3 linked regions of the Caenorhabditis elegans genome follow. The protein of the gene in region 2 purifies or fractionates together with the protein of the main gene of each other region. This does not show direct contact. Each region holds a gene or a part of one and is shown on either strand. Other genes may lie near its edges.

What was found. The genes of interacting proteins can lie anywhere in the genome.
Region 1: the proteins of fib-1 (region 2) and nola-3 fractionate together in Caenorhabditis elegans (co-fractionation; one large-scale study listed by BioGRID). This does not show direct contact.
Region 3: the proteins of fib-1 (region 2) and rpn-1 fractionate together in Caenorhabditis elegans (co-fractionation; one large-scale study listed by BioGRID). This does not show direct contact.

Annotation. Positions count from the first base shown.
Region 1 is NC_003279.8:10,177,268-10,179,788, forward strand, and holds nola-3 (Putative H/ACA ribonucleoprotein complex subunit 3), read left to right. Parts: upstream 1-1,774; coding exon 1,775-1,969; downstream 1,970-2,521. Other genes in the region: fath-1 (Fatty acid 2-hydroxylase), read left to right, coding at 1-23, 76-210, 259-362, 410-796, 845-1,002, 1,243-1,307; C25A1.16 (uncharacterized protein), read left to right, coding at 1,971-2,051, 2,100-2,251, 2,299-2,377. UniProt on the Caenorhabditis elegans protein: Required for ribosome biogenesis. Part of a complex which catalyzes pseudouridylation of rRNA. This involves the isomerization of uridine such that the ribose is subsequently attached to C5, instead of the normal N1.
Region 2 is NC_003283.11:15,000,144-15,004,116, forward strand, and holds fib-1 (rRNA 2'-O-methyltransferase fibrillarin), read right to left. Parts: upstream 1,967-3,973; 5' UTR 1,883-1,966; intron 1,827-1,882; 5' UTR 1,826-1,826; coding exon 1,786-1,825; intron 1,738-1,785; coding exon 1,554-1,737; intron 1,507-1,553; coding exon 956-1,506; intron 909-955; coding exon 625-908; 3' UTR 510-624; downstream 1-509. Other genes in the region: rps-16 (Small ribosomal subunit protein uS9), read right to left, coding at 1-200, 245-394; mut-15 (MUTator), read left to right, coding at 2,570-2,606, 2,656-2,723, 2,766-2,811, 2,859-2,931, 2,979-3,147, 3,190-3,665, 3,714-3,837, 3,883-3,973. UniProt on the Caenorhabditis elegans protein: S-adenosyl-L-methionine-dependent methyltransferase that has the ability to methylate both RNAs and proteins. Involved in pre-rRNA processing.
Region 3 is NC_003282.8:6,905,868-6,911,891, forward strand, and holds rpn-1 (26S proteasome non-ATPase regulatory subunit 2), read right to left. Parts: upstream 4,047-6,024; 5' UTR 4,038-4,046; coding exon 3,939-4,037; intron 3,878-3,938; coding exon 3,153-3,877; intron 3,106-3,152; coding exon 2,166-3,105; intron 2,091-2,165; coding exon 1,251-2,090; intron 1,205-1,250; coding exon 1,094-1,204; intron 1,049-1,093; coding exon 907-1,048; intron 858-906; coding exon 769-857; 3' UTR 553-768; downstream 1-552. Other genes in the region: T22D1.17 (Col_cuticle_N domain-containing protein), read left to right, coding at 130-303, 393-512; ribo-1 (Dolichyl-diphosphooligosaccharide--protein glycosyltransferase subunit 1), read left to right, coding at 4,816-4,980, 5,044-5,963.

The DNA of each region.
Region 1 (2,521 bases), on a different chromosome or scaffold from region 2:
CTAAACATCCGGGAGGTGCCAAGGTAACTTTTTTTCAAGTTTTAGGATATTTTACTAATCTCAAACTTTTTATAGGTTCTGAATCGTTTGGCTGGAGAAGAAATTGGAGAATTTATCAGAGGAGAAAAAAGGATAATGGGTGTACGTCATGAGCACTCGGAAGCCGCTTATAATATGCTCGAGAGATATAATGTGAATGCAATTCAAAAAGTTCGTTCCTTCCATCAAATCTAATTATTAATATTTCTAAAATTCTAGGGTGATCCATTGATTGAGTCTAAATCCGGAATGCTTTTCAAAGTTGGATCTCTTGGCTCTGAATATTGGCATTGGATTCATCAACCATATGATGGAACTTTAAGGTATTGATGATCTCGACTTTTCAATGCAAATTTTCACTTTTTTTCAGACTTTTCGATTCGGATGTGTTGGAAAGCATGACAAGAACAGCTTGGTGGGTGGTCCCTGCTGTTTGGATGCCGATCGTCATTACTTTTTCTATCCTCTCAGTGCTCTCATTTTCAACATCCACCGATGTTTATAACTCGATTCTCCTGTGGTCTGCCTGGTTCGTCATTGGAGTTTTGACATGGACTCTCACTGAATACAGTCTTCATCGATGGGTTTTCCATTGGAAGCCGTCTCCAGATTCGCCGAATCAGATTCTTCTTCATTTCTTGGCTCATGGACTTCACCATAAAACACCGATGGACGGAGACCGCCTTGTGTTCCCTCCGGTTCCAGCTACTTTGATTGTTGGAATTTTCTATTTAATCTACTCCAATACCTTCCAATGGTCAGTATTAAACCTTTCCTGGTTCCCATATTCAGTTAATCGTTTTAGGCCAGTGTTTTGCGCGTTTGGCGCTGGAAAGTTATTTGGATATGTAACCTACGATATGGTACACTATTATTTACATCACGGAAGTCCTCGTCCACGCAGCAATTTACATTTTAGAAAAGTATATCATCATAATCACCACTTCAAAAACTTTGACGTCGGTAAGTTACATTTAACGGGATTTTGTTTAAAAATCAATTTTTAATTTGTTATTTTTAAGTCAAGAACATTAAAAACTGTTTTTTAATTGAGATTTTCTATAATCTGCAAATTGTCGTGAAATATAATGTTCTCTGACGGAAAATTACACAGATTTGCGATGGAGCGCGTTTGCACTTTCATTTTCGCAATCGAAATTTTTCTATCATTTTCCCTATTTCAGGCCTATTTTCATTTTTCAGGCTTCGGAATTTCGACTTCTCTTTGGGATTATGTTTTCCACACACTCGGAATGGGCCCATTATAATAATACATAGATGTTTTTTCGGAAAATTTGTTGTTTATTGAGTGAACTCTGCCTCACGTTTTTTATCTCTAAGTCTCTTGTCCCGATTCACTTTTCTCACGATCCACTATACCCGTTGTACATATATATTTATCGATTTACCTTTTCTTTTCTCGTACGCCAGATTAGTTCAACTTGTTTTCACATTTTATCTATATAGATCAGCTACTCAGCACGTGCCTATTATCCTCACTTCTTACCGGTTTCCATCAAACATTTTGTGATATTCCTTCTTGTTTTGTTTTCTTTCTGTTATGCGTGAAATTTGGAATAATTTTTAAAAATATCTAATGAAATCACCCCTTCATTCTTTCTCGCTAATTCTTTTTTTCGTTGCAATGCGCCGTATTTATTTCATATTTCTCTATAGTTTCAGAAGTTTTAGAAATCATTGATAGTTTCAGAACTCAGTCTACTTTCAACGGACAATGTTCTTGAGATACTTCTTGGACGAGAACCAACAAAGAGTGTACACTTTGAAGAGAACTGCTCCATCTGGAGAGCAAACTCTTACCGCTCATCCAGCTCGCTTTTCGCCGGAAGACAAGAACTCCAAATATCGCATCATCATCAAGAAGCGCTTCGGACTCTTGCCAACCCAGAAGGCAAAGACCGTTTGCTAAAATGCTGGTTTGGGAGTGGCGCCGCATGTTGCGGCAAAAAATCCGCTCTTTCACCCCCAATAAACCTATCAATTATCAACAGGTAATTTACAAATCTCGCATTTTTCCAAACGATATTTTATAATTTCAGGTGTCTCGTCGTCGTATCATCGTCTCTTTTGTTCTTTTCTTCGTTGGATGGAAAGCTTTTGGTTATACTCTCAACGATATGTTCCTTTGGACTGTCGATGAGCAAACTATGCAAGGTCGCTTTTTAACTCCACAAGAAGGCAAAGATCGAAGGTTTGTGTAAATTGAAAAAATCATTGATAATATTTTCATGGTTTCAGAGAGGCCCTAGAACGACAACGAGATCCCAAGTTACGCATCAAACCCCCAATTGTTTCGAAATACGATCTTGACGACTAGCTTTTAGTCTTTTTTCCACCGTTTTCTCTTATTCTTTTTGTACTATTCTTGTTGTTTTCTTCTCATTGTTGTTGTCTCTCAAATAAAGTATGAAATGTTGAAAAAGTGAGGAATTGTATTGCAAGTTGAATCCTCATTACAAAT
Region 2 (3,973 bases):
AGGGACTTGTCGTAAGCGGCGAAGATGTTCTTCAATTCTCTCTTGCTCTGCTCGTCAACGTACTTGTGGTAGTAGGCAACGAGAGCCTTGGCAAGGGCTTGACGGACAGCGTAGATCTGGGCAACGTGTCCTCCACCGCTAACACGGATTCTGATGTCGACATCCTGGAAGCGTTCCTTTCCGACGAGGAGAAGTGGCTCCTGAAAAATACAAGTTAGTTGGAATTTAATGTCGGAACAAAAACCTGAAGCTTGATGCGCAGGATCTGTGGCTCCAAGAACTCAAGTGGGCGACCGTTGACCTTGATAAGTCCTTGTCCCTTTTTGCAGTGAGCGACAGCGGTGGCAGTCTTCTTGCGCCCGAAGGTCTGAACCGATTGCACGGTAGACGTCATTACCCTGTAATAATATATTAAACAAAGAACAAAATAAAGGTTACAATTAAAGTAGAATAGAAATATCGGCAAGGTTGAGAACCAAGTAAAGATAAAAGTAAAACATCCCTAACATGACAGCATCAACAACATTTTATTGGGAAACAAGTAAAACAAGTGTTAACGATCAAGATGGAGGTATACATGTAACAAAATAACAAAACAAAAAAATGTAACGATGATTTTGGAGATCAGACCTTCTTTCCCTTGACTGGGCGGTAGACAGCAACCACGACAGCGTGGTCTCTCTCATACGGCTCCAGGGTTACCTGCTCAAGTGGCTTGAACTTCTCCTCCTTCAGCTTGTTGACTTCACCAGCAAATACAGCCTCGGGCTCAGCAGTACTGTCAATGCAATTAGCTTTGATAGAGATGACGGCATGTCCACCGTTGCGAAGGAAGTTTTGGGCATTGAGAGCAACAATACGAGCTTGATCTGGCTGAGCAACATCAGAAAAGATGACATCGACCATTCCTGTAATATAAATATTAAACACAAAAATGCTTAAATTTAATACTTACCGACAAGCATGCGGTACTTGTGTGGATGTCTGGCATCTTCGACAATTGGGACAACGTTTGGTCTCTTCTTGGCAACTCCCAAAAGGTCACGTCCAGATCTGTGAGAGAACTCAACAGCATAAACGATTCCTTCTGGTCCAACGACGTCAGAACAATGGGAAACAGTAGTTCCAGAAGCAGCTCCGAGATAGAGAAGTTTGGTTCCTGGCTTGATGTGAGTGTTCTCCAATCCTCCCATGATGGAAGCAGCGAGCTTAGAACGGAATGGATTCCACACACGGTACTCGATTGAGCCAGCTCCGTCATCGACGGACACTCTCTTCTCTCCGTACACGGACTCTCCCACAACCATGTTCTTTGTGGCAAGAGCATCTTCCTTTCCTTTCACGATGAATACTCCACCGAGACGATGTGGTTCGACAACGACAGTCTTTCCTCCTCGCATTCCACCGGCTCCTCCGCGTCCACCACGTGGTGATCCTCTTCCGCCTCTTGGAGATCCACGTCCTCCGAATCCTCCTCTTGGTGATCCACGGCCACCAAAACCACCTCTGAAAAATTATCGTTTTGATGGCGAACAGAATTATAAAACACAAACCGATCACCACCGCCTCTTCCTCCACGGAAACCACCGCGGTCTCCACCTCCGCGTCCTCCTCTGAAGCCTCCGCGATCACCTCCACCGAAACTGCCACGATCACCTCCGCCATATCCTCCACGACCACCGCCTCCAAATCCACCTCTGCTACCACCACGGTCTCCACCGCGTCCACCTCGGAAACCTGAAAAATAATATTTATAATACGAAAAAATCCTGAAATTCAGTTTACCTCCGCCGCCGCCGCCACGATTGAACTCTGGACGTCCCATACTACAAAAATCGATTATTTAACAAAAACGAAAAGCGAAATTACGAAAAATACATACCTCAGCCGTGGGAGAGCCGAGTAAGATTGAGAATTATCCCATTTCACTTAGAGTCATGGATTTAAATCACGCTCCAGTCGATCTGAATCGACTAGAATCATCCACTATTCTCAAATCTACTCTTAAAATCCAAGAAAAATTGAGAAGAAACGAACATTTCAGGCAAAAAATGACGAAAAAAAATTTGGGCGAACCAAAAAATTACGAAAATGGAGAAGACATTGGAGGGAACTACGGTGGAAAATGGCAATCGCTGCGAGACCTGCACAGTGGAGCGCACTTGCCACACAACCGACACTTTATCGATTCGCAAGCAAACAGCTCGCGTAGAACGAAATCAGGCAATTGTAGGCGGGGCTTTGTTCTAAAATTGAAAATCAAAGCGATATGAAAGGTGGTTTTGATTGAAATATGCAAAAACGTCAAGCAAAAAAACAGGTTTTAAATTATGATACTAATCATGGCTTCGAAAAAAGGTTGAAAACTTGATAGATGTTTCACGTTTCGTTGTCTCAGAAACCAGAATATTCCGGCCGATGTTTTGAACGCAGCGAAACCGATTCCCATTCTGTTTATCGATTGCTGGAGCGAGTCGAGCATTGAAAAACACTCCGGAGTTGTTCAGATATCGCGCACGGGTTTAAATAACAGGATTTGAATGGAAGTATTTAGATAAGTATCAAAGAAATGGATAACTCCAATGGAATCGGCATATGTAGCATGGGTGACAATTTTTGATGAGCTAAATGGGATATTTATTTTATTCATTTCAGGTGTCGTGAATGCTTTTGATCTTGATGGATTGGGCAATGCAAGGAGATCATGTTTTTCGGTCAAAGAAGTTGAGATTAATGAATGACTGCAATTATTTCATGTTTTCCAGGCTCGAGCGCATAACCCAGAGTGGGGACCGGCAGCTTCAAGAGAAGGTTTGAAATATCATACTAAAGATACCATCGAAATTAATACTTTGAAGAAGTAGCGTATGTGAGATCGTCTGAAACCGGGTCGCTGCAAATAACGAGGAAGCTGATGAAGTTTTCAATCAGGTCATTCGATCCCGTCGTTAATTCTGAAAATACATTCATATTTTCAGTGGCCGCCGAGGCTACAGTCCATGGAGAACATTGCAAGATGCTTTATATTGCAGTCTCGGGCGTTTTCACAACGGCGAACATTTGTTTTGCATTCATTCAGGCCCAAATCACGAGTTTTACTACGGACAACCCATCTTGCACTCCATCGACAGATTTCGTTCGCATAGGGTTAGCCAAGCTAGTGGAAGTGATAACTGATTCTAATTTCAGAAACCGTTTCCGCGATGCATTATTATAACTACAGACGGTAAACGCTCGAAATCTGTAATGAGAGGCCTACTCAACAAGAGAAGAAGTTCTAATTCCACTCGTCCAAATACACATATAACAAATCTAGACACAACTGAGCTGTCAAATGAATTCATGACATCGAATAGATCTAGAGTTTTCATTGGTTCATTCAAAAAAATCAAAGAGTATATCGATAAGCTGAAGAATGAAATGGAACAGTTGGATGATTTTATATCTGTTCTACGTTTTGTTATCATTAATAATGCCGAGAAGTTGAAGGGGAACAGTGAGTTTGCCGACTCACTCGGACGTCTCGCTCAAACTTTTGAAAGTTCTTTGACACGATTCATCTTCGCGTATCATTTCTCAAGTTCAGTTGCCTCGTTAACCGAAACACTCGAGTTTTGCAAAGGTAAAATGGAAAGACCTGTGCTCATTGAAGCTGATAATCCGAGGTTCGAGCAATATTCGCAAAATTTGTGCTATTCTTAGAATGTTTCCAGAGTTCGTGATGTATTTTCCAATATCGAATGCAAGTTGGTACGTCCTATCAGTGAAATTGCTAGTCTACTTCCGACCCAGGAGAGCACACTTGAGAATAATAATATAAGTCCCGCAATTGTCTCGGTAACTACTGAGTCTAAATTTTGAATTAATCTTTCATTCTTTCAGCAATATTTGACCGAATCAACACAAAAACTGAAGATACTAACCATGTTGATCAAAAAAGAAAGAGATGCAAGAGCGGCAGATAACGGTAGAT
Region 3 (6,024 bases), on a different chromosome or scaffold from region 2:
TTATCTTTTATCACCTGTTTTCTGTAGTTTTCAATTCTTTGTCTAATTGTATTGGTCATTTGCTTCTTCTTTCTATTACTTTTCCATTTAATACATCAAATTTTGAAACTTTATAGTTTTTTCGAAACTATGAATACATCCGAATTTTTATACAAATTTCGTTTCATCGCTGATTTTGCTGCTATTGGAATTTTATGTTTTATGGCAATTATGACACTTGTTGTTATATATTTGACAAGTGATATTATTAATGAAATTGATGAAATGAAAGATGTTTTTATGGATAAAAAGGCTACTTTTGAGGTGAGTGTAATAATTCATTAAACTTTTCTAAAAACTGAAAAACTAAAATTTCCAAACTCACATTTGAACATTCTAAATTTTATTTCCAGATGTATGCGAACGATGCTGAAAATCTAATGTCGAACAATCGCCACCTTGACGGATTTTCTGATATATTCGATACTTTGATAAGGATACCTAGAAGATCTTCAAATTCCTGTGATCAATAAATATTAATACATATATAAAACCCAGGATGATAAGATTGAAAGTAATAATTTACTCGAATACCGTCCCACTCAAATTTAAAGTGTACACGTTTTTTTCAAAGAAAAAATGATGAGGGAGAGGGAAAATTGACAGAAAAACGGGAAATCGGGCAGAGAGCGAATGCAATCGGATTGTGCACAATAAAACGGGTCAAAACGGATAATTTAGATGGGAGAAAAGGGGGAGAAAAATAAATTAGATCCATAAATTTGTTGGTTACTTCTTAGTTGATACAACAACCGGCTGATAATCTGGATTCTTCTTCAAAATAACCAATCCTTCAAGATGTGGAGTCACAGAGAGATCTGAAATATTTTAGTTAAAAATTAATTATCAAATGTTAGGATGGCATACATTCATCGTTCGCCAACTCGGCACGTTCACCATGGGCAAGCAAGACTGGCGTAGTATGAGTTTGGAATCCAGTGATTGTCTTTGGCTTTCCGGCTTGAGCAACAACGTCAACGGCTTGACCAACACGAACAGAAACGTTCAACTGTAAAATCACATTGGAGAGTTGAAACTTTTAAAAAAATTATACCTGTTTCAAGCTTCCAGGCTTCATTTCGTCTTCTACCAGTGTGGTAAGCATTCTTGGTTGCATTGCGAGCACCAACGTGTAGAGCAAGTAATGCTGACGGTTGTTGAGAATCTAAATTTGAAATAAATTATGGTAGAAATATCAATCTTGCACTAACCGTGTTATTGGCGTCGAGGAAAGAGAAGCAAATTGAAAGGAGAGAAGCCAAAGCACTTGGAGACAATAATTGCCTATCAGAATGCCATGGGTTCAACGTCATTGTTCCTTTTCCGAGATGAGTAAGTCCTTGTGCAATTCTGACCAGCATTAGAGAAACTTGATCCTTGTAGTGATAAGAAGCCAGGTTTCGGAGCATAGCAACAAGACGAGCATTGTTTGTTCCTGCTCCAACAAGTCCCATCGCGAAAATAGCATTGTGAGCGGTATCAGCGTCAGAATCGTGAGAGAACTTGGACAGAGTTTCCAAAATGTTCAATTGAGGATTTGAGACGGAGAGAAGTGACAACGCCAAGGGAACAGCACGACGGATAACTGGTTCTCCATATCTGATGAGATGTCCGAACATGCGAAGAGCCATCTGAGATCCGATGTCATCTCCCATAGCAATCAGACCAATTCCGAGTACAGCAACCGCCTGTTGCGATGACAAGTCTGGCTTGGCAGGTGGTGCTGGAGTAGCGTCGGCGGCAGCAGTCTCTGGAGCTCCTGGTGTAGCAGCACTTGCGGCTCCTGGAAGGTCGCGTCTCGGAGCAGCTGGGGCAACGGCGGGTGTTCCAGTTGGGGCTGGAGTGCCAGCGACGTTGACATTTCCAGGTTGCGCAGCAGGACGAGCAGGTGTAGCAGCAGCTGGGGCTGGTCCACGCGGTCCACGAGAAGCGGCAGTTTTCTTCTCAGCTGCTGGCGTCTCGTAGTGTTCAGAGCAGAGATGGAGCAATTTCTGGATTTTCAAAACATTTCCAGTTCCTGCGTATGCACAAACTTCAACGAGCGTAGAAACCTGAAATTGTATTCATTATGATATGAACAAGGGAATAGCCAAAACTCGAGGTGATCTAGAACAAATAATACTTACCATCGCTCCAAATGGATCAGGAAGTGAACGGAGACTTTCGACAAACACATCACTCTTGTCCTGAGTTTGCAAGAAGATCAATGCAATTCCCAATGCAAGGAAACGCATATTTGGATCTGTGAGCTCAGTTTCGCTTTTATCCATTAGAGCTTGAAGCATCTCCATCGCAGCTTCCGCATCAGCAGTTCCAACAAGAATGAGGCCAAGAGAAAGTCCAGCAAGTCCTTTAACTTCAGGAATAGCCGATGGCTTTTGATCAGAAAGAACTTTCTTGAGCTCGAAAATAACACCGCGTTCCTCATTCTTTGTAACGGTTTCTCTTTTGGAATTAGCGTAGGCAAGTCCAAGTCCAAGAATTGATCCTACTCTCATAATTGACCGATCAGATTGAACATGATCAAGGAGAAGTGCGGAAGCAGGGTCACAAGCATCTTGAATTCCAGAGGAAATAATACCAATAGCCAAAAGGGTTCCAGCCTTGATATAATCGTCATTGATATACAAGAATCTGTCGCATTGTGCCAGGCCGGTATCGATATCCCATCTCCAGATAAGACCCTGTGAGGCGGCTGCAGTAAGCATTCCATATTCCTTGTTCTTGTAGAACCATCTGGAGGCTTCCTCTGTTTCAGCCATCATTTTATCAACTCCGAATCCACAGTTCACGAATCCATTCACCAACGCAGCGGCGAGATTCATGCGAGTAGAGTCTGGCTGAGCAGAGTTTCCGAATGGCCGGGAATGTTCCAAATGAGATTTGTAAATTCCTTCTGGAGTTTTAGGCTCCATAATGTCGAGCTCACGAGCCAAGGAGTGGAAGTATTCATAGAGATGAGCATTGGAATTCAGTTCGGCAAGAGCATCCGAATCTGCAGATCCCTCGTAGTCAAGGAAAATCTGATGGCGACCGAGCAAGATAGCCATTTGCTTTCGAAGCAATCTGAAAACTTTTCTTTAGGAAAGTAAGAGACGTTATATTTAACTTACGGGTCAGATGCCTTCGCAAATATTTGATGAACCTGTGGAATATCGTTGACCATGATAGCACATCTAACAGCTTCAAGATACCGGTTGAATTTCAAATAGAGTTGGAGAGCAGTGCGAATAAGAATAATGTTATCCGGGTCTGGAGTCAATGGGGCACATGAAAGAAGATAAAGGCACACACGTTGGTGATCAACTTCTTGGACATAAGAGATCAGCAAATCAATACGCTCAATTTCGATGAGCAAATCGCACGCTTCAACTTCTGCGTTGTGTTTCATGTGATGGCTGACAATATCCTGAGTCAACTTAAGGAGTTCAGCTTTTCTCGCATCCGAAGTGCCTTCCTTCTTCCACTCCTCTGACATTTCCATCGCCAAATGACGAACGTATTCATGTCCCCAATCCCCGATCGGCTCGTGTGATCCAAGAATACGATAGTTGATCGTGTCGGTTCGCTCATCTGATGTCATTGCGAGCACTGAAATGATATCTGCGCAAAGTTTCTTAACGTCAGGCGCCACGATCGATGTGAAAATCTCCTTCATTTTATTGTAATGCGGACGCATAAACTTGAGAGGTTTTGGAACAGAGGTCATCGATGTGGTTGAAGCACGAATCAATGTCCGCATAGTCTCCAGTGATGGCTTGTAAAGTGTTGTGTCCGGTTCAGATAAACGCTGAACAAGAAGATTGAGATCCTCCTCGAGTTTTTGATCCTCTTCGCTCTGAAATAAATAAGCTATAAGTCTCATTACGGCTTAAACAATAGTTATTCTTTAAACTAACCATCTCTTCTTTTTTTGGCTCAGCTTTCTCGGGAACTTTTTTATCGTCGGCTTTCTTTTTGTCCGCCTCTTTTGGTGTCTGTTGAGTAGTCGCCACCATTTTTCGATCCTTCAAAATATATGTATTCGAAAGAGAAGCTGAGATTTCGAAATGAATTTTATAGAATTAACAAAACAGTTAAGTCACGAAGAAACTATAACAGCGTATTCAAATACTAATTCCCTCGAAAACGTGAATATTTTTCAACTTTATGAAAACATCGAAAAATAACTATTTTGAGAGTCAGAGTTTGGAAAAAAGGAATAGAAACTAAGAGTGAAATACATCTAATCCGAATAAAAGAATAAAAAAACAACAAAACGATGACAATTGGATTAGAAAATCTGAAAATCCGCGCCGGTTCGCGGAAAAAATGATAATTTGAACAGACTTTGTTTAAAGGCGCAGTCATCATGCCGGCTGGTGGGTCTCGCCACGAATGGCTCCGATTCAAAATACGTGGACGAGTTTACCACGTCTTTCTCTTTTTTTTGCTGAAATTATTGTAATTTAAAGATAGATTTTCGCAGAATTTATGCATCAAATCAATATAATACACTTGAAATTTGCTCTTATAATGAATTTTGCTGATTTCACCAAACAAAAATATCATTTTTCTAGTCTGTACATGCGAATTTTTGCTGCTAAATGATTTTGTGACAAAATAAAGTTACTCTGTGCTGAGATTGTAATAATAGATAATTTTTTAACACGAGCTGATTAATTAAATTCCAAATAGATGTCGTCTTGCTCGATCAGTCGAATTTCATTCTTGAAACGTTTTAATATGACATTTTTGGGTTTTCTGCATTTTTGATTGTATATCTAATTTTTCCAGATGCGATTGCTATTTGCCATCGCTCTCCTGGGGGCGGTTTTCGCTGAAGACGCTTGGAAAGCCGCTAATGTTGACCGAACCATCGATGCCACGTCACAAATTGTCAAGGTTTCGACATTGTATTCATTTGAGAACGTTGGAAATGGACCTCAATCGAAAGTTTTGGTATGTAGATATATTTTTCCTGAAAATTCACTATATTTCCTATATTTCAACTTTATTTTTCAGATTGCTTTGTCTAAAGAAGAATCTGCTACTCTTTCTTTCATTTCTGCTGGAATCGATGGAAGCAAAGGAAAATTGAAAATTTCTGAAAAACCAGCCGAAAAGGATCTTGCAGTTTACGAAGTAGACCTCCGAACTCCTGTTGCCAAGGGAGCCAAAGTTACCATAAGAATCAATCTTCGTATCACACAAGTACTTGAGCCACTCCCATCCAAGATTCAGCAATCTGACAGTCAATTTGTTGTTCTTCACACATCTGCATACGTTCCTTCCCTGTACGAAACTGTGACCCAAAAAACAACTATTAGAACCACTCAAGGAGGCAAGCTTCTATCCGCAACCACAGTTTCTCCATCGAAACAAGAAACGGAACGTGTCATCTACGGACCATATGTTAATATCCCAGCTTTTGAGACGAAACCAGTCAAAGTTCATTATGAAAATAACTCGCCATTCGTTATTGCCACCATCGTGGAAAGATTCATCGAGGTTTCTCACTGGGGAAACATCGCTGTGGAGGAGTACATTGAATTGGTTCACAAGGGAGCTGAGCTTGATGGTCCATTCTCAAGAATCGATTACCAAATGGACCGTCGTGGACGTCGCCAACCAGCACTCCAACAGTTTACCACAGTTCTTCCTGCTCAAGCTAAAGATATCTATTATCGTGATGAGATCGGAAACATTTCTACATCCGCTGTACGAATCCGTGCTGACAGCGTTGACGTTGAGATTCGTCCACGATTCCCACTCTTTGGAGGATGGAAGACGTCGTATGTCATCGGATACAATTTGCCATCGGAAGAGTATTTGTACAGCAAAGGAAATCAGTATGCTCTCAAAACAAAGTTGTTCGATCATGTGTTCAATGATATTGTTGTAGAGAAATTGCGCACTAAAGTTCTTCTTCCAGAACATGTCAAGTAAGTTTTCATTTTACTCATTGCGTTAGTTTTCAAAAAAAGTTATTATGTTGGTTAACAT